Astyanax mexicanus: one gene and its partner. The protein of the gene in region 2 interacts with the protein of the main gene of each other region in a pairwise test. Links are inferred from orthologs where the notes say so. Each region holds a gene or a part of one and is shown on either strand. Other genes may lie near its edges.

The links.
Region 1: the proteins of prkci (region 2) and pard6gb interact in binary tests that used the Homo sapiens proteins (3 or more experiments, as listed by UniProt). The link is inferred for Astyanax mexicanus from reciprocal best matches to the Homo sapiens genes PRKCI and PARD6G.

Annotation. Positions count from the first base shown.
Region 1 is NC_064410.1:36,208,222-36,216,242, forward strand, and holds the start of pard6gb (par-6 family cell polarity regulator gamma b), read right to left. Parts: upstream 3,247-8,021; 5' UTR 2,964-3,246; coding exon 2,892-2,963; intron 1-2,891. UniProt on the Homo sapiens protein: Adapter protein involved in asymmetrical cell division and cell polarization processes. May play a role in the formation of epithelial tight junctions. The PARD6-PARD3 complex links GTP-bound Rho small GTPases to atypical protein kinase C proteins.
Region 2 is NC_064415.1:44,605,890-44,613,736, reverse strand, and holds the start of prkci (protein kinase C iota type), read left to right. Parts: upstream 1-4,764; 5' UTR 4,765-4,992; coding exon 4,993-5,072; intron 5,073-7,847.

The DNA of each region.
Region 1 (8,021 bases), on a different chromosome or scaffold from region 2:
TCTTCCTCTACATGGTGAGAATGAGCAGATAGCTGAGGCACCTGCAAACCATGCCACATCAATAACATACAATCAGTGACAGTTACCACAGACAATCTTTAAAAAAAAGAAGAGAAACTCCACTGCAATAATACACACATTTAAAATAAAAACCAATGGCCAAACATTGAGTGCGTGACAATCAACTATACGCTACAGATGCAGCAGACAGACAGAGATCAGATCACGCAGGTCAACATACAGACAGTGGGCTGGATCTGGTCCGATCAAGGTTCTAATCTGCATGAACACACAGACAGCCATTTAGCTAGATGTGGGAAAACACAGTCAAACCTAACAGCAGAACCAATTTAAAACCTGCGAGACTTCTGAATTAGTAAGAACACTGCCTCAGTCCACTTAACGTTTAAAAGCTTTCACTGTGTTTTAATGCACAACATAATTTTTACACATTTGGTGTGTCACACCATGTGGGAATTCATTTAAAAAATACTAATTACAGTATTTCTGACTGTTGCCTCACTAACGTAGGGCTTAATGATCTACAGAAATGATATCTAGCACAATGCACACCTGCAGAGTCAAAACAAACTCTGAAACTGGTCTAGATAAAGTTAATTTGCATTGTTTTACACTATATGGACAACAGTATTACAACACTTGCTCATTTACTGTTATTTCTGAAATCAAGGGTATTAAAAATTATTATTTAATTAAAAATTAAAAATCCTGCTTTTTTGGGGAAGAGAAACTGTATCTGCTTCCCAGGGAATACAACCCCACTGCACCATAACTAAATGCTGAGAGGATTTAAACTCCTCTAGTCCATGTCTAGTATTAGGCACAGTGTCAAAAGGTTCATTTTTATCTGCTCCAGAGTGTCTGACTCTACTGCCAATTCTTTTCTACAGGGACTAGACAAGCAGCGTGTGCATTTGCACATTTTTATCGGCAATGAGAGTAATTTAAAGTAGCTGAGTGCATAGAAGGGGTGTTCACAAACATTTGGATATAGGATGTAGTGTATTATAGCTTTGACAGAGGCTGTAATTATTGTAGTTAGTCAGTCAGTGATACAGTTATGTTCTTTTTTTTTTCATTTGTCTGCTGTGTATATAGTGTAAGAATGATATTAGAGATGCACCAATGTCAATGCCGATTTTCAATATTACACATGTATTTATCTGCCAATTCCGATATATATACTTATAACTTACAGAGAGAATGGACACCCTGGTATAACTTTAAAGCTAATAAAAATAAATAAAAATGAGCTTAAAATCAATGGTAGTAGTGCAGTCAATGTAGAGAGAAAGTATCGGTTTTAAAAAAGCAATTATCGACAGATAGTGATATAATTCTGATATCATCATGCATCTCTAGATGTTATGCTTTTTTTTATTTTTAAAAAATGGAAAGATTTGGATGTGGCCCAATATCTCAAAAGACCTTGCCACTCCTGAACTAGATAGACAAACACTAAAGGATGACCAGTGATTGTAAACCTGCCCTTGAAAAGGGTTCAGTAAACAATCAGATGAGTTTAAAAGATACACACTGCAAGCAAAATATAGAAGAAATCTACATGACATCTGGACAGTGGGCCCTTTACTCCAGGGGATTCTTGGACAGGCTCAAGTCCATTTTGGAGATATTCCTGCTCATGCACCTGATTCAAATCAACCGTTCAATAAGTGTGTGTGTTCCTAGTCTAGGAAATCCCCAAACTGCACAGTTAAAGCAAGTTTACAGTTAAAGAGAGAGATGTTGTCAGAAGAGCTGTTTTAGACTACTGTATTATACTGACTATAATAAGGCACACCATCAATGAAAGTCTATTTTCTGGTCTCTTTCCATACATAAGGCACATTTTAGGTGACAATAGTAAGGAACAAGGGTGTTGCCATATAAGCAAAACATTTACTTTTAAAGTAAAATGAGCAATGGGTGTTAAACTACACAGATTTCTCTCCTGAAAACTGTTAATTTGTGTAAGTAAAGCGCTTTCATTTACTTACAGTAAGCTTAGATTTTCAGTAGTAGATTGCCAGATGACATGGCTCTCCATCACTGATTGTAGAGACTTCACACTAGACCTCAAGCAGCTTGAACTGTGTTTCTCCACTCTATTCTGGTCCCTTGATTTCCAAACGAAATGCAAAATTTACTGATGATTAGTGATGGTTTGGAGAGACATGTCATCTGCTGGTGTTGATCCACTGTGTTATATAAAGTCAGAAGTCAGTGCAGTTTTGTTTTCCAGATAAATCTTACAGCACTTCATGCTTCTCTCTGGTGTCAACTTTTATGGAGATTGCTGATTTCATTTTCCAGCAGGACTTGACACACTGCCCACACTGCCAAAAGTACCAATAGGTCTTATATAATATTCTAATTTCCTGAGAAAATGATTTTTGGGTTTTCATTGGCTGTAAGCCATAATTATCAACAATAAAAAAAAACTCTTAAAATAGGTCACTTTGTGTTCAATACATCTATATAGCATATGCGTTTCATATTTTTAACTGAATTAGTGAAATAAAGTAACTTTTTAATGATAATCAATTTACTTTATTTATTTAGATGCACTAGTTGCTACTCTGCTAGCAGTCTGGCTGCTTGTAGATGCAGCATAAACAACTCAAACACCCCAAATATTAACTCAGAAACAGCAGGTATGTGATGAAAAGTAGTTATCACTAATACTGAGTGTCAGAAGACACACAGTGGAGGACAGCTCAGAGCAGAGAGCTAATATTAGTTAGGTTAGTGAGTTGACATGGGGGCTAGCTACATTAGCCCACCTTTACCTACTTAAAAAAACACTATTTCACCAGTGTTTTAAGAAGAGTAAACACAGTACTTTTAAACCCAAAGCCCTCCAGACCTACCTTACTCTTCACCTCCACCGCGTCCAGCTCCAGCGGCCGTAAAGGCTGCGATTTATTAAAGCTGCGGTTCATTTTGATCTGAAGCTCCAAAGTTCCCAGACTGAGCCCGACCCTCGGCTCGGGGGCTCGAGGGAGAGAAGACGAGCGCCTATATCCCACAAACTCCCACTAGTTCTCGGTGTGCAGGAGCATGAAGTCCTCGGGGAGTCCGCTACACCGCAGCTCGCAAACTTTCACAGAAAAATAAAAGCGTTACAGAGCCCAAAAGCAGCGTCTCAGTCAGGGACACTCACTTTAACTTTACTGAATGACATCACCACCGTGTCTCTCCATGAACTCAGCCACAGCTCCTCCAACTGGCTTCACACCCGTACTCCGTACCCGTACTCAGAAAACGCTCCCTTTAACGTGATTGGCTATTTTCGTGGAAATATCCCGCCTTCGGCATTGTGATTGGTCCTTTGGTTCGATGGAGGCGGGGTTTTGTCTATCCATTGACGCCGCTTTAGTATTTTAGCTAAGTTTGTTTTATTTATGCATTTTTTTGCAGTAACATTATGCATACAGTTATCTATATATAAATGGTATATAAATATAAATGTGATCTCGTATGAATTATAAATAATTTATTATGACAACAAATAAATAGGTATCCAAAATTAAGAAGCAATGAAAAAAAAATAAAATAAAATAAAAACAAAAAAACAAGAAGAAACTTGATATAAAGTTAGTAAAGTTGTACTGCAAATTTGAGCAATAATACAAAAAAAATATATTAAATGTAATTGTTAATGACTAAAGTGAGACTAATATAAAAGCTACGCTTTTTGAAACTTATTTTGTTTTCGGAATATATTATTTATTTATTATTGTTTGCTCGCCTCTCCCATTGGTCGGGCGGATTGAGTTTGAACCAAGTAGCCAATGAGAGCACGGGGGGCGTGGTGTGTCCGAAAAACGGGTGGTTAAAAAAACAAAAACGTTCAATCGCAGCCGCACATACCAACAGTAGCGCCACCTGCTGACGGTAATTAAAAAATTCGGTTCTTTAAAAAAAAGAATACAAGTTTATTTTAAAGTTCATAACTGCCAAACTGGAATATACGGCGTTACTTTTTCTTAGACACATTTGTACAAAATTTGTGCTATTTTTGCGTTTAACAATAAACTACTGCAAATGTGAGAAAGTATTTATTTTTATTGAAGTAAAGGATTTTTGTGGATTAAAAGCTGTTAAATACTTTTATTAGTAGGTTAATTTCGAATTATAATAATTTAGTTTTTAAATATTGATATTGAGTGTTCACTGGAAATTAAGTATTTGTTTGTTTGTTTTTTAACTGTTTTCAAGCTCTTTTATTATATATTTCTCTTTTTCTAGTTGAGTCATGATTTTACATTTTCTTGGCTCTGATTTAAGGCTCCTCTTTCCTACCTTTGGGCTCAAACCAGACACTACCAGACACTGCTGAGCATGATCCCATTGGTCTGAGTGAAACCACCCACCACCCAGTGTGCTGTGATGTTTACACATCAGCTGTTGGATTTTACTGTGTTGGTGCGGCCAGAAGGCGCCAGCTTAACCTCCCTAACACCGTCCTCTCAGCGCCTCCAACTGTTCTACCGGTTAAACCACGGAAAATCACCAGCATCAGAATAGAGCAAAGTTCTAACAGCCGACGTTTTATGCGTTAGTTTAAGATACTTTTAATCTGAATTAATTGCTAGAAATTTAGTACACTAATGTTCCTGCTTAAATAAGAAGCAAAAGTTTGAATAAACTTGCCAAACTAAGCTCATTAGGAAATAAATCACAGTGGTGGTGTGAATAGCATGCAATGCTCTTCTGTCCCCTAGAGGGGGCTAATATTTCTCCAGATTTTACTGTTACCGACCTTCTATTTTCAATAGAAATAAACGTATTTAATATAACAGTAAGTGTAAATAAGTCAACAAACAAATATAATGGATGTTTTCATCACATTTTTTCCTATTAAGGAAGTTTTGTATATATATACATATATATGTATATATATACAGTGACGTTAAAAATTATTTGCCCCCTGCAGACTTTTTTTGTTTTTGCTTTTTTGTCATCCTGATATTTTTTTAGATTATCAAACAAACGTTAATATTAGAGAAAGATTAAAGGAAAAAAAATATCCAAATCATCTTTGGTGGCAACAACTGCAATCAAGCTTAGCCCGTAACTGACAATGAGTCTTTCACATCTCTGTGGAGGAATAGTGGCCTACTCTTCTTTACAGAATTGTTTTAATTCAGACACATTGGATGGTTTTCCAGCATGAACCACCTGTTTAAGATCATTCCACAGAATTTGACTAGGCCACTCGAAAACCTTCATTTTTTTTTTTAAAGCCATTCAGAGGTGGACTTGTTTGTGTGCTTTGGGTCATTGTCCTGCTGCAGAAGCCAAGTACGCCTAAGCTTGAGATCATGAACAGATGGCAGGACATTCTCCTTTAAGGATTAAAAAATTCAAAGAGATTTTATTGTCATTCGCATCACATGTGGTACATGAGGTGTAACGAAATTGTGATCTCAAGTTTACAACCAAGAGCTGTTGTTAAAATAGATATATAGATAAAATAAGATAACAAAATAAAAGAATACAATAAAAATAGAATAGAACATAATAGATAAATATAAATACACAAAAAAATAAAATATAGGCAGAGTAGACAGGTAGCAGCAACATGAAGTCCAGAGTGCAAGTTTTGCTATAGCAGCATGATAATGGAATTAGAGCAGTACAGGACAAAGTGTCTCAGTGCGGTTTAAAGTGACAGTGTTTGTAAACAGTATTTGTTCTTGTAAAGTGTCAGTGCAGTGTGTTTAGGATTGTCTGGTAAAACAGCAAAATTCCCCAAATTCCTGGGGATTATCAAGATTTTTTACAAATTTGAAATGGACTGTTGTTTTTTTTTTTTTTTTTTTTTTTTGCCTTGGATCTCTCCCATGGATACTATTTTCGACCAGTCTCTTTCTTATTATTGAATCATTAACACTGACCTTAACTGAGGCAAGTGAGACCCGCAGTTCTGTTTTTTTTGTGACCTCCTGGATGAGTTGTCCATGCTCTTTTGGAATAATTTCAGTCAGCCTTATAGACCAAAAAATATATGATAATTGATGACATTCTATTAAAAGATTTGTGAAATAAGACAGAGACTATGTTTACTTATATTTAAATACATTTGAAGGCAAATCTAGTCTTTGTACTTTTACTCAAGTGGAGGTCTTAAAAGAGGATATTTACTGGAGTGATATGTTTATGCACTTTTATGCACAATTGCACAATATATCAAACACAGTGATTATGTGAATATGTAAGAAAAAAACTGTGCAGTGAAAGTACAAAAAATGTGGGCCAATTTAACTATACAAGACAATTGTCACGCTGCTGGAAGATGGACAAGGACAGTGGACGGGAAAGCTATAAATGAAGACGACAGAAAAAAAGGAGTGTCATGAATTAACCAATTAAGTAATTATATAGAGAAAAATGCAATAAACTATAAACCAAAAAACAGTCTGAACTCAAATAAATATGTTCTATTTTTACATATAATTATATTTCCAAACATTAGATATGGAAAGTTCTGTTTTACTACCTGACAATAACATTTAAAGTAGGATTATTGTACAAAGCAATTGCTTTAACAAAAACTTACAATTTAGGGATAGTACCTAAACATTTTAAGTCTAATTAACTCAAGTTTTCAACAAATTATCTTTTTTTTTTAAATATGAAATTTCTAAATTATTTTTTTTTTTTCAGTCTTAGAGTGTACTTGACAATTAGTGGTATTTTAAATGAAACTCTCTTGCAGCTATTTTTTACAATTATTTTACATATAGACTCTACAAAATTGACAAGCTTATTTAAAAAAATTGAACTATTGTTTAGCAATTTTGTTTGCGGTTGTTTCCTTAAAGGACGATACTAAGTGCAACTAAAGAAAATATCTAGTATCTGTCATTATGTTTATTTCTTAAAATTAATCAAGTAGGTGTTGACTACCAGGTGAGCTACCTAATGGTCTAGTAATGAATTAAAGCATTACTGCATCAATTAACTATGTTTAATGAGATATAAAATAATGTAGTGCATCACATGTTATGCATGTAACTTGTTGCCTTGTTAGTTAACCTGTTACTGACTCTATAACAGCATACAGCAAGTTCAATACTCAAACTAATAACATAACTATTACTGTAAACTAAAACATTAAATATTATACACTACAGTATACTGTGCATTACACTACACTTGTAACTGCCCTATAACCTGCAACTGACTGCCTAATTCTCCTTTTCGATCATTAAATCTGTCTGTCTGTCTGTTTCTCTGTCTAGTGGCAGATGAGTAGTTGTACATATAGCCCCGCCCCCTACTTGCTCAGCTTCTGTAAAGAGCACTAGATGTCAGTGTTACTCCACTGAAAACAGTTATATAGTTCTTCATGCAGCTCATCTGAAGGATAGGAGCTGAAAAAACACAATAAATGCTCTGAAGTACTGTCCAGTTTAGGGTCTGACCATGACAGAAGGGATTGTCACAATATTTGTTCATGCATTTGATAATGTTTTTAATTGTCCAAAAAAATATATCTTTAATGTGGTAACTTTACATGACAAAATAAAACACTCAACTTTTAACACAAGTTAATGTATTCCAAAGATATTAAGTCTAAGCTGATTTGGAACAGTTTATTCTTTGGAAAAATAAAACTTATTTTTTTTAACTGGTCAATATAAATATAACATTCCTTTTGCGTGCTCAGCATAGTTGTTAACATTACACACTGTGTTACAATGCATTTTAAGGTTTACTCTGAATTAACACAATATTACAAATACAGTATTTAGAAGAAATGGTTAAGTAGCAACATTTTTTAAAAAAAATAAATATATTAGTTTTTATAATTTAGGCATTTCAATTGTGAATTTTATTTTCACAAAAATATCTAGCTATTTAAACATCCAAATTTTTTTTCCTGCCCACTCTGTCCATCCTGGGATAATTAGCCCTTTAGGAAAGTAACATTTGATGTTAGTGAGATCACAACCTTCATGCTGTTTTTTTTTTCAAGGGAATGAAGAAAC
Region 2 (7,847 bases):
AGGAATGAGTGACAGTAACAGGAGTGATTTGTTTGTCATACAGTTGCAAGAAAAAGTATGTGAACCCTTTGGGAATACATGGATTTCTGCATAAATTGGTCATTAAATGTGTTCTGAAAAAGTATTTAAACCTTTGTGTTTAATAACTGGTTGATCCTCCTTTGGCAGCAAAAACCTCAACCAAACATTTCCTGTAGCTGCAGATCAGACCTGCACAACAGTCAGGAGGACTTTTGGATCATTCCTCTTCACTAAACTGTTTCAGTTCAGCAATACTCTTGGGATATCTGGTGTGAATCGCTCTCTTGAGGTCGAGCCACAGCATCTCAATTGGGTTCAGGAGGTCAGGACTCTCCAGAAGGCATATTTTTTTTCTGTTAAAGCCATTTGGTTGTTGATTTACTTCTATATTCTGTTGCATCATCTATCTTCTGTTGAGCTTCAGTTGGCGGACACATGGTCTTAAGTTTCCTGTAAATTGTCTTGGTAAACTTGAGAATTAACTTTTCCTTTGATGACAGCAATCCATTCAGGCCCTGATGCAGCAAAGCAGCCCTAAATCATGATGCTGCCTTCACTATGTTTCACAGTTGGGATGAGGTTTTGATGATGGTGTGGTGTTTTTTTTTCCCACACATAGTGTTTGGTGTTCCTTCCATACAACTAAATTTTGGTTTCATCTGTCCACAGTATATTTAGCCAGTTCTTCTGTGGAACATCCAGGTGCTCTTTTGCAAACTTCAAATGTGCAGCAATGTTTTTTTGGACAGCGGTGGCTTCCTCTGTGGTGTCCTCCCATGAACTCCATTCTTCTTTAATGCTTTCTTTATTGTAGATTTGTCAGCAAAAATGTTAGCATGCACTGTAAGCCTGGACAAGTTGGATTTACTTTAAAAAATTGAAGAAACCGGTTGTCTTAAAAAAGTTAAGTTATGGGTAATAAAAACGTAAGTTAGCATAACTTAGAACATCAAGTTATTACAACTAAAGTGGAAATTTGGTAAGAACTTTTAAGTAATGGGGAAAGAAAACTTGAGTTAGCATAAATTAAAACATTAAGTTATAACAACAAAAGGGAAACTTGATTTATTTCTAAGGCAGCCCAGGGGGAAACACTACACACTGATGTTGAGTGTCAGAAACTGTTTGACACACCCAGTATGCAAATAGATTGTGACAGAAGCCAATGGAAAATAATCTGCCAATGGCAGCAGACTTATAAATTGGTTCAACTCAAAGATCTCTGTTTAAATATATATGTGCCCACAAATGTTCAACTAACTCAAAATAGTTGAGTATTGTTTAGAAATATCCAATGTTTTGTAATAACACCTAAATTTACATATTAATTACATGATTACAGAGAACTTTCAGAAAGGAAAATTACCACTTTAGAAAGTGTTTCATGCTCTTTAGATACATACATAGATACATACCAGAGTTTCAAATATTCATATGGAGCATTTGAGCAAATTGGGGTGAGTGTAGCGAGTAAACCTCACAAACCACCCGCTTTACTGGAGCTTCAGAACCTAGCTGTTTCTCTGGGTTAGGATGTTCTGGTATTGGATTATCCTATTTAATACGGTAAAAGCAGACGTATCGGCTTATGGTTGAATGTGTTAAATTTACCTGTCAACTAAGAACACAGTTCCTCTTCTGTGAAAGGTGGTGGATATAAGTTAAATGGATTTTATATTTTTGTGTTGTGTTTAAAACACTGTTGTTTAACAAAATTGTCCTCTTATTCTAAGTATCTAATCAATGTGACATTTTATAACTAACTGAGTATATTATTTTTCTTATTCCATATGTTTATTATCACTGTGTAACACTGTCTCGCCCAAAAAGTGTACACTTTATTATTTATTCTTTAATATATTGCCGGACCGGCTTTAGCTTTGATTGCAGCACATATTCACTGTGGCATTGTTTCAATAAGCTTCTGCAATGTCACAAGATTTATTTTAATCCTGTGTTGCATTCATTTAAAAAATAAATAAATAAAAATAAGGTCTGAACTGTGAAAATAATGATCTCATGCCCCCTGAACCACTCTTTCACAAATCCAGCTCAGTGAATTATGCCATTGTCATCTTGGAATATGCCCATGCCATCAGGGAAGAGTGTTCAGGGAGTGTTCACGCAAACATGCAGCTGCGCAGATTATATTAAACACCTCATAGACTAATACTAAAAGAGATATAATGAAGAAAATCAGTACAACTGTTTATTAACATTGTAAATATACAATATATCATTAAATGTAATTTTATATACACAATGTTCCATCACTTATTTTCTCCAGTTTTACTTACAACACGAATTTGCTGTTGTGGTGTAATTAATAATTCTTTCACTTCCTAAAGGTAAAGATTTTGCATTTTACAGAGACTGTAAGAATAGGTAAGTGGCTGGACTGCATTAGCAAGGTATTACACATGTTGTAATGTAACATATGATACTGCCAATCAGAGGCCATATGTTTGCATGTATGAATATTCATGAGCAAGAGCCAAAATCCTAGCGTTTCTCCCCACCCACTCCTCTAAGGGACTAAAGCAGCGAAACACCTGTTCACTGGAGCATTTTTTTTTTTTTTTTACAAAAAACAGCTCACATGGCATTCATTTATACTGAGACCAAAACTAGACATTTTTAATTAATTCAAAAATGATGGAATGAGACCTTTAAGAAACCCCACATTAAGCCTTTTTACATTAAGTGTTTTAAACTTTTACATTAAGTGTTTTAGCTCTGTGGTTCTGGAGTAACACTGTCCTGCTTGTTTTAATGTTTTGCGGGTGTAACACACCCAGCTCAGCTCACCTCTTCCAGGGCAGTTAGTTAGTTGATTATTTGGATCAGGTGTGTAATTAGTTCAAACCAATGACTGTAGTTAAATAATAAATCCGCCGGGAAGCGCTGCTCCAGAATGAGTACTGGGAACCACTGAGCACCTAAAGCTCACTTTGTCTTATTATCTGCCTTTTAAAAGTCTAACACAGGCTACACTGCTCAGCATCAACAGACTGAAAGTGTTTTTACCTCACTCTACAGTCTGTGTCATATCTCTGCCAGCTTGTTCACGTTCCCTGCCGCTGTTCTGTGACTTCAGTTCAGTGCGCCGTAGCATTAGCTAAAAGCTAGCATTATTTGCATTTTGACTCTTAAACGATCTCGAAACTCAGAGTATCCAGTGATGTTCAGGAGGGAAATGTACACAGAGTAGAACATACAGAGCTCATTCATTGTGGACATACAGAAATTCAGCTTCGACACGGAAACACAATTATGGACATAAACAACATGTCCAAAAAATGACTGCAGGACTGCAGTGGTCTATGTGTGGGGCTAACTGCTATAGTTTGAACGGCCAATCAGCTGTATAACTTACTTACTGTATACTTTTACAGCTGCCTTTACTACAGAACAGTTATTATTAACTCTAAATTAAATTAAATCTACAGAGTGTGTAATTAATGTTGTATATGTTTCTTATAATATTTTTATTATACGAATATATTATATTATATCATTTTTAAAATAATTAATTATTTGTTTGCTACTATAATACCTATTTTTCACTTTTAACATTTTTACATCAGCTGTAAGACTGAAGTAGAGATATTGTTGACCTCTAGTCCAGACAGGCTGTTTGTGAAAAGAAATCTTTGCTTAAGGGATGATTTTAAACCTGCCTAATTAATTATCTTAATTATAAGTCAACTCCATTCATTCAGTTAATTTTGAACTGGCTCTCTGGCGCCCTCCTTCGCCACTACGCTATACTGCAGTAATGTGTTGTGCAGCAGAATGAACAGGAAATGGGCGGGGCTCTACAATCTCAGCTAATCACAGAGGAGCAGGCGTGGCTTGGCAGAATACGGGTGTGAATTAAACGCAGCTGTCTGACTATCAAATGAGAATAAAAACAAAACAGTCATCAGAAATGTGGTAATTAGCAGCGCCACCAGCTGTGTGGGAGGTAAGGGGAATTACACTGGGGCCCAAAATATCTATGAGAACCTCAGGTGTGTAGAGGGGGGCACAATTAACCCAACCTCAAGTGGGGGATGGCGGTATTGGAGCTTTAATAATAGCAACAAGATCAGACACAGAGGTTCTGAACTAGTAAAGGAAACCCATAATCAAAATGAACGTGTGTGCTTAAGGTGGGGTGGTCTGCAGGCTGAAACCATGACATTAGGATCAGGTACTGAGGTTTTGAGGTTCTAGGGTGGAGGGGTACCCAATTTTCATAGAATTGTTAGGGGTATTATTTTTAAATAGGACTAGTGAAACAGATATTTTACCAAATTAGCAACTGATTTAGACTTTTTTGTTTTTATTTAGTAAAATTTTTAGTCTCTGCTTGTTTTTTGTCCTATTTTTTTTTTCTTTAGCAGTAGTTCAAGTTAAGAGAGTACTGAGATTATGAGCGCCGACTGATAAGATTGGTTTACCTTGAAGAGTTGTGAATCAAGAATCGTCCACCCCTCTTCGGCCATTCTTTTGGAATAGTCGGACTCTTTCCGGGCGCTTCCATTGTACTTAAAAAGGGTTGACAAAACTTTAGAACAATATAGTTTTGTGTTTATTCCACAAAGTAACCCAATATTTATCCTTCACACACATGGCTTAAATGTTTTAAATGTAATATTTATTACGTTTTATGTTAAATTCGTTGTTTATTGGTATTAGGTTGGTCTCCGCTCCCCGCACATTCCATAGTTAGTTCGTTCCGCAGTAGAGTCCACTGCACAGTCTGTTGTGGGGGGAGTCGAGACTCCGGCTGTGTTCTCCAGACCAGGCCGCCGCTGTTGTGTTTCGGTCAGACCCGCTCACAGCCTGCCTTTAGCCCGTTTACAGCTCCGTTCTGTTCCGCGGACACACCCAGGAGGACCGGCTCCGCTGACCGGCACTAGCTTAAACCGTAGTCGAGCCGGATAAGGCGGTTTTCTCCGGGGCTTCGCTGGCTGGCGGTTCACGATGCCGACGGTGCGGGACAGCACTGCGACCCACCCGGGGGAGAACCAGCACCAGGTCCGGGTGAAGGCCTACTACCGCGGGTGAGTTCGCGTTAGTTTACTATTTTAAGTCTATATATTTAAATCTTTATATCCTGATTAATAACTTCATCACTACTTTTTAACCTTGTTTGTGTCTCAGAGTTGGAAAATTGGCTAGAACTGTGGTGGTAATACGCCTGAGAAGTTTAGAACTGTGATTAGGCTGAAAGTAAACACTTGTTCTGCGTTTTGAAATGAATTGTCAACGTTTTTAAAACGTTTACTAGACTGTTCAATCCCATATTAACTCACACTGCCGCTAAAATACTTGGGAAATCCCTAAACAGCGCTACATTTCTAAATACGGAATAATCCGCTCCACCTTAAATGAGGCGACTATAACTGCTGCCTTATTTAAGGTGGAACGGAAAGTTCGCGTGAACAGAGCAGTTTAAGACTTGTCTCTAGTTCAGTGTTAAAATGCTTTGAAAATGTCCATTTTTAATGTATACCTACTGTGTCACAGTACGTAGTAGTAGTGTGTCACACAATAAAGGTATTTTAATATATTATCATATTGAAAGCTTAGGTACAGTCTGATACCTGTGCTGATATTCAACACGGAGTACTGTGATCTGATACCGATCTGATCGGTATTCGCCGATACTCCGCTTTGAGGTACTCAGACCAGAATCAGCCGATACTCAGTATTATGGTGTGAGAATTGTATCAGTATTGGCTGAAACATAACATTATGGTACTTGTATAATGGTATCTTTATATCGGCATATCGGATCAGTGTCTCATCAATAAGATAGTGAGATGGGTAACTGTAACAGAATCAGCGATGAATGAATGTTCTTGAAACAGAGCGGTATTGCCCGATATTCAGCCTTACGGTACTCTTATCTGATCAGTATCAGCTAGTGCTGGGGGGTATACCAGTTCACTCTAAAGAAGTGAAGTGACTGAATTTATTTGTTGGTACTAAAATTTTAAAACAATATCCAGCCATATAAATCACAAACCTATATCAAAGCCTAGTCATGCAAAAATAAATAAATAAAATAATAAAAATGCCACAATATACTGTGGAACTGTCATTATCTTGAAAAATACTGTGATATACATTTTTGGTCATACCGCCCAGCACTAGTATCAGCACTGAGGTACTTGGATTGGTATCAGCCGGTTCTCAAATCATTTAAGGTGAACAGATTGCTATCCTTTGATACTCAGCATAGCAGTGCTTGGATTGTTAGGGAGATCAGATTGGTTATTTAGCCTAAAAGTGCTGATGTTACTATAGAGATCAAATTGGCATTGGCTGATATTCAGCGTAATGGTACAGGATTCATAGCTAAGATCAAAGCAGTTTATACTCAGTTATATGGTGTTCGATTAGTAACAGTGGAAACTCGCCTTTAAGGTAATCTGCCAACACCCATGCTTATGACAGATTCAGCCAGTACTCAGCATTAAGGATTGGTGTTAGGATTAGTGTTAGTCGATACACATCATTGCAATACGAGGATCGTTATGTAGATCGGATTTGTATTGTCTTCTGTTTTGTTGTAAGGAGCCTGTCTCAGTATCACCTGACACGGAGCATTAAGATACTCTAATTGGATTGGATTGGTTTGACCAATATTTTGCAATAAGGTACTCCCTGATTCAAGCTGATGCTCTGCATTAAGGAACTCAGATCAGATTGGTATTGTCTGATGCCCATCTTTACTGTACCCTAATCTGGCCGACATCAGTTGATACTCAGCGTTGAGGTATGAATTGGTAGGGTTTGTATCAGCCATTAGCTTTATGGTACTCAAGACCGTATCAGCTGATACACAACTGAAGATACTGAAATCAGATTGGTGTCAGATAATACTTAGCAATAAGGTGCTTGGATAGAACTGGAAATAATTCATACTTAGCAGTAAACGACTCAAATATTGTCTGATATTCAGCATTTAGGTAGATGGATCTTTATTGCAAAATACTCAAAACTACTGTACACAGATGTAATTGGTATTAGTCTCTACTCAGCGTTAATATACTCATATTGGATGAAATTGGATAAAACTTATTAAAAATATTAGGGTACTGGGATCAAATAGATATTAGATGATGCTCAGTGTTAAGAGTCATACTGGCACATAAGGCAGTAAAACATAATTGGACTTCCCTAAGAATAATGCTGTAGTTTTTATACTGTAAAAAGCAGTATTCACTGTGAAGGCCAGCACTGTGAGCTCTGCTCTGCTCCTGTCACACATTGACACCGCGTAAATACACACTGTGGGGTAGACTCTGCTCTTTTCTGGTTTGATCTTTTGGTGCAAAATTAAACACTGCATATCCAGAGTTAGTGGAGTGATCTACAGTAATGCAGTACTGAAGCTGAACCAAAGTATTTCCCAGAAAAGACAATCAGATTCTGCCCCCTCTCAGATGAAAGCATTAATGTTGATGAGGGGAAATAGTGCTTCTGTTTAGTGATGGTTACGGGAGGAAAATATCACTCAGTGCAGTACCCCCTGTTGTGTAAATGGAGCTGCATAGTTGCCAACCTATCAGAGTGACCATGCTGACCCCTTGTCCTCCATCACCTACAATGGACATGTGATTGTCAGAATTTGACTGCAAATTGATGGAAGAGAGTGGTCTGGTCCGAGGAGTCCTTTTTTTTTCTCCGTTACGTGGACAACTGGCTTTGTGAGCACTTTTTTTTGTGGGGGTTTGGAACAAGAAGTCCAATGTAAAAGAACTTTCATAAAAGTATCTGTGTTTGGTACAACCTTCAGAAGGTGCTGTTTTAGTAGCACAAATGTTGAC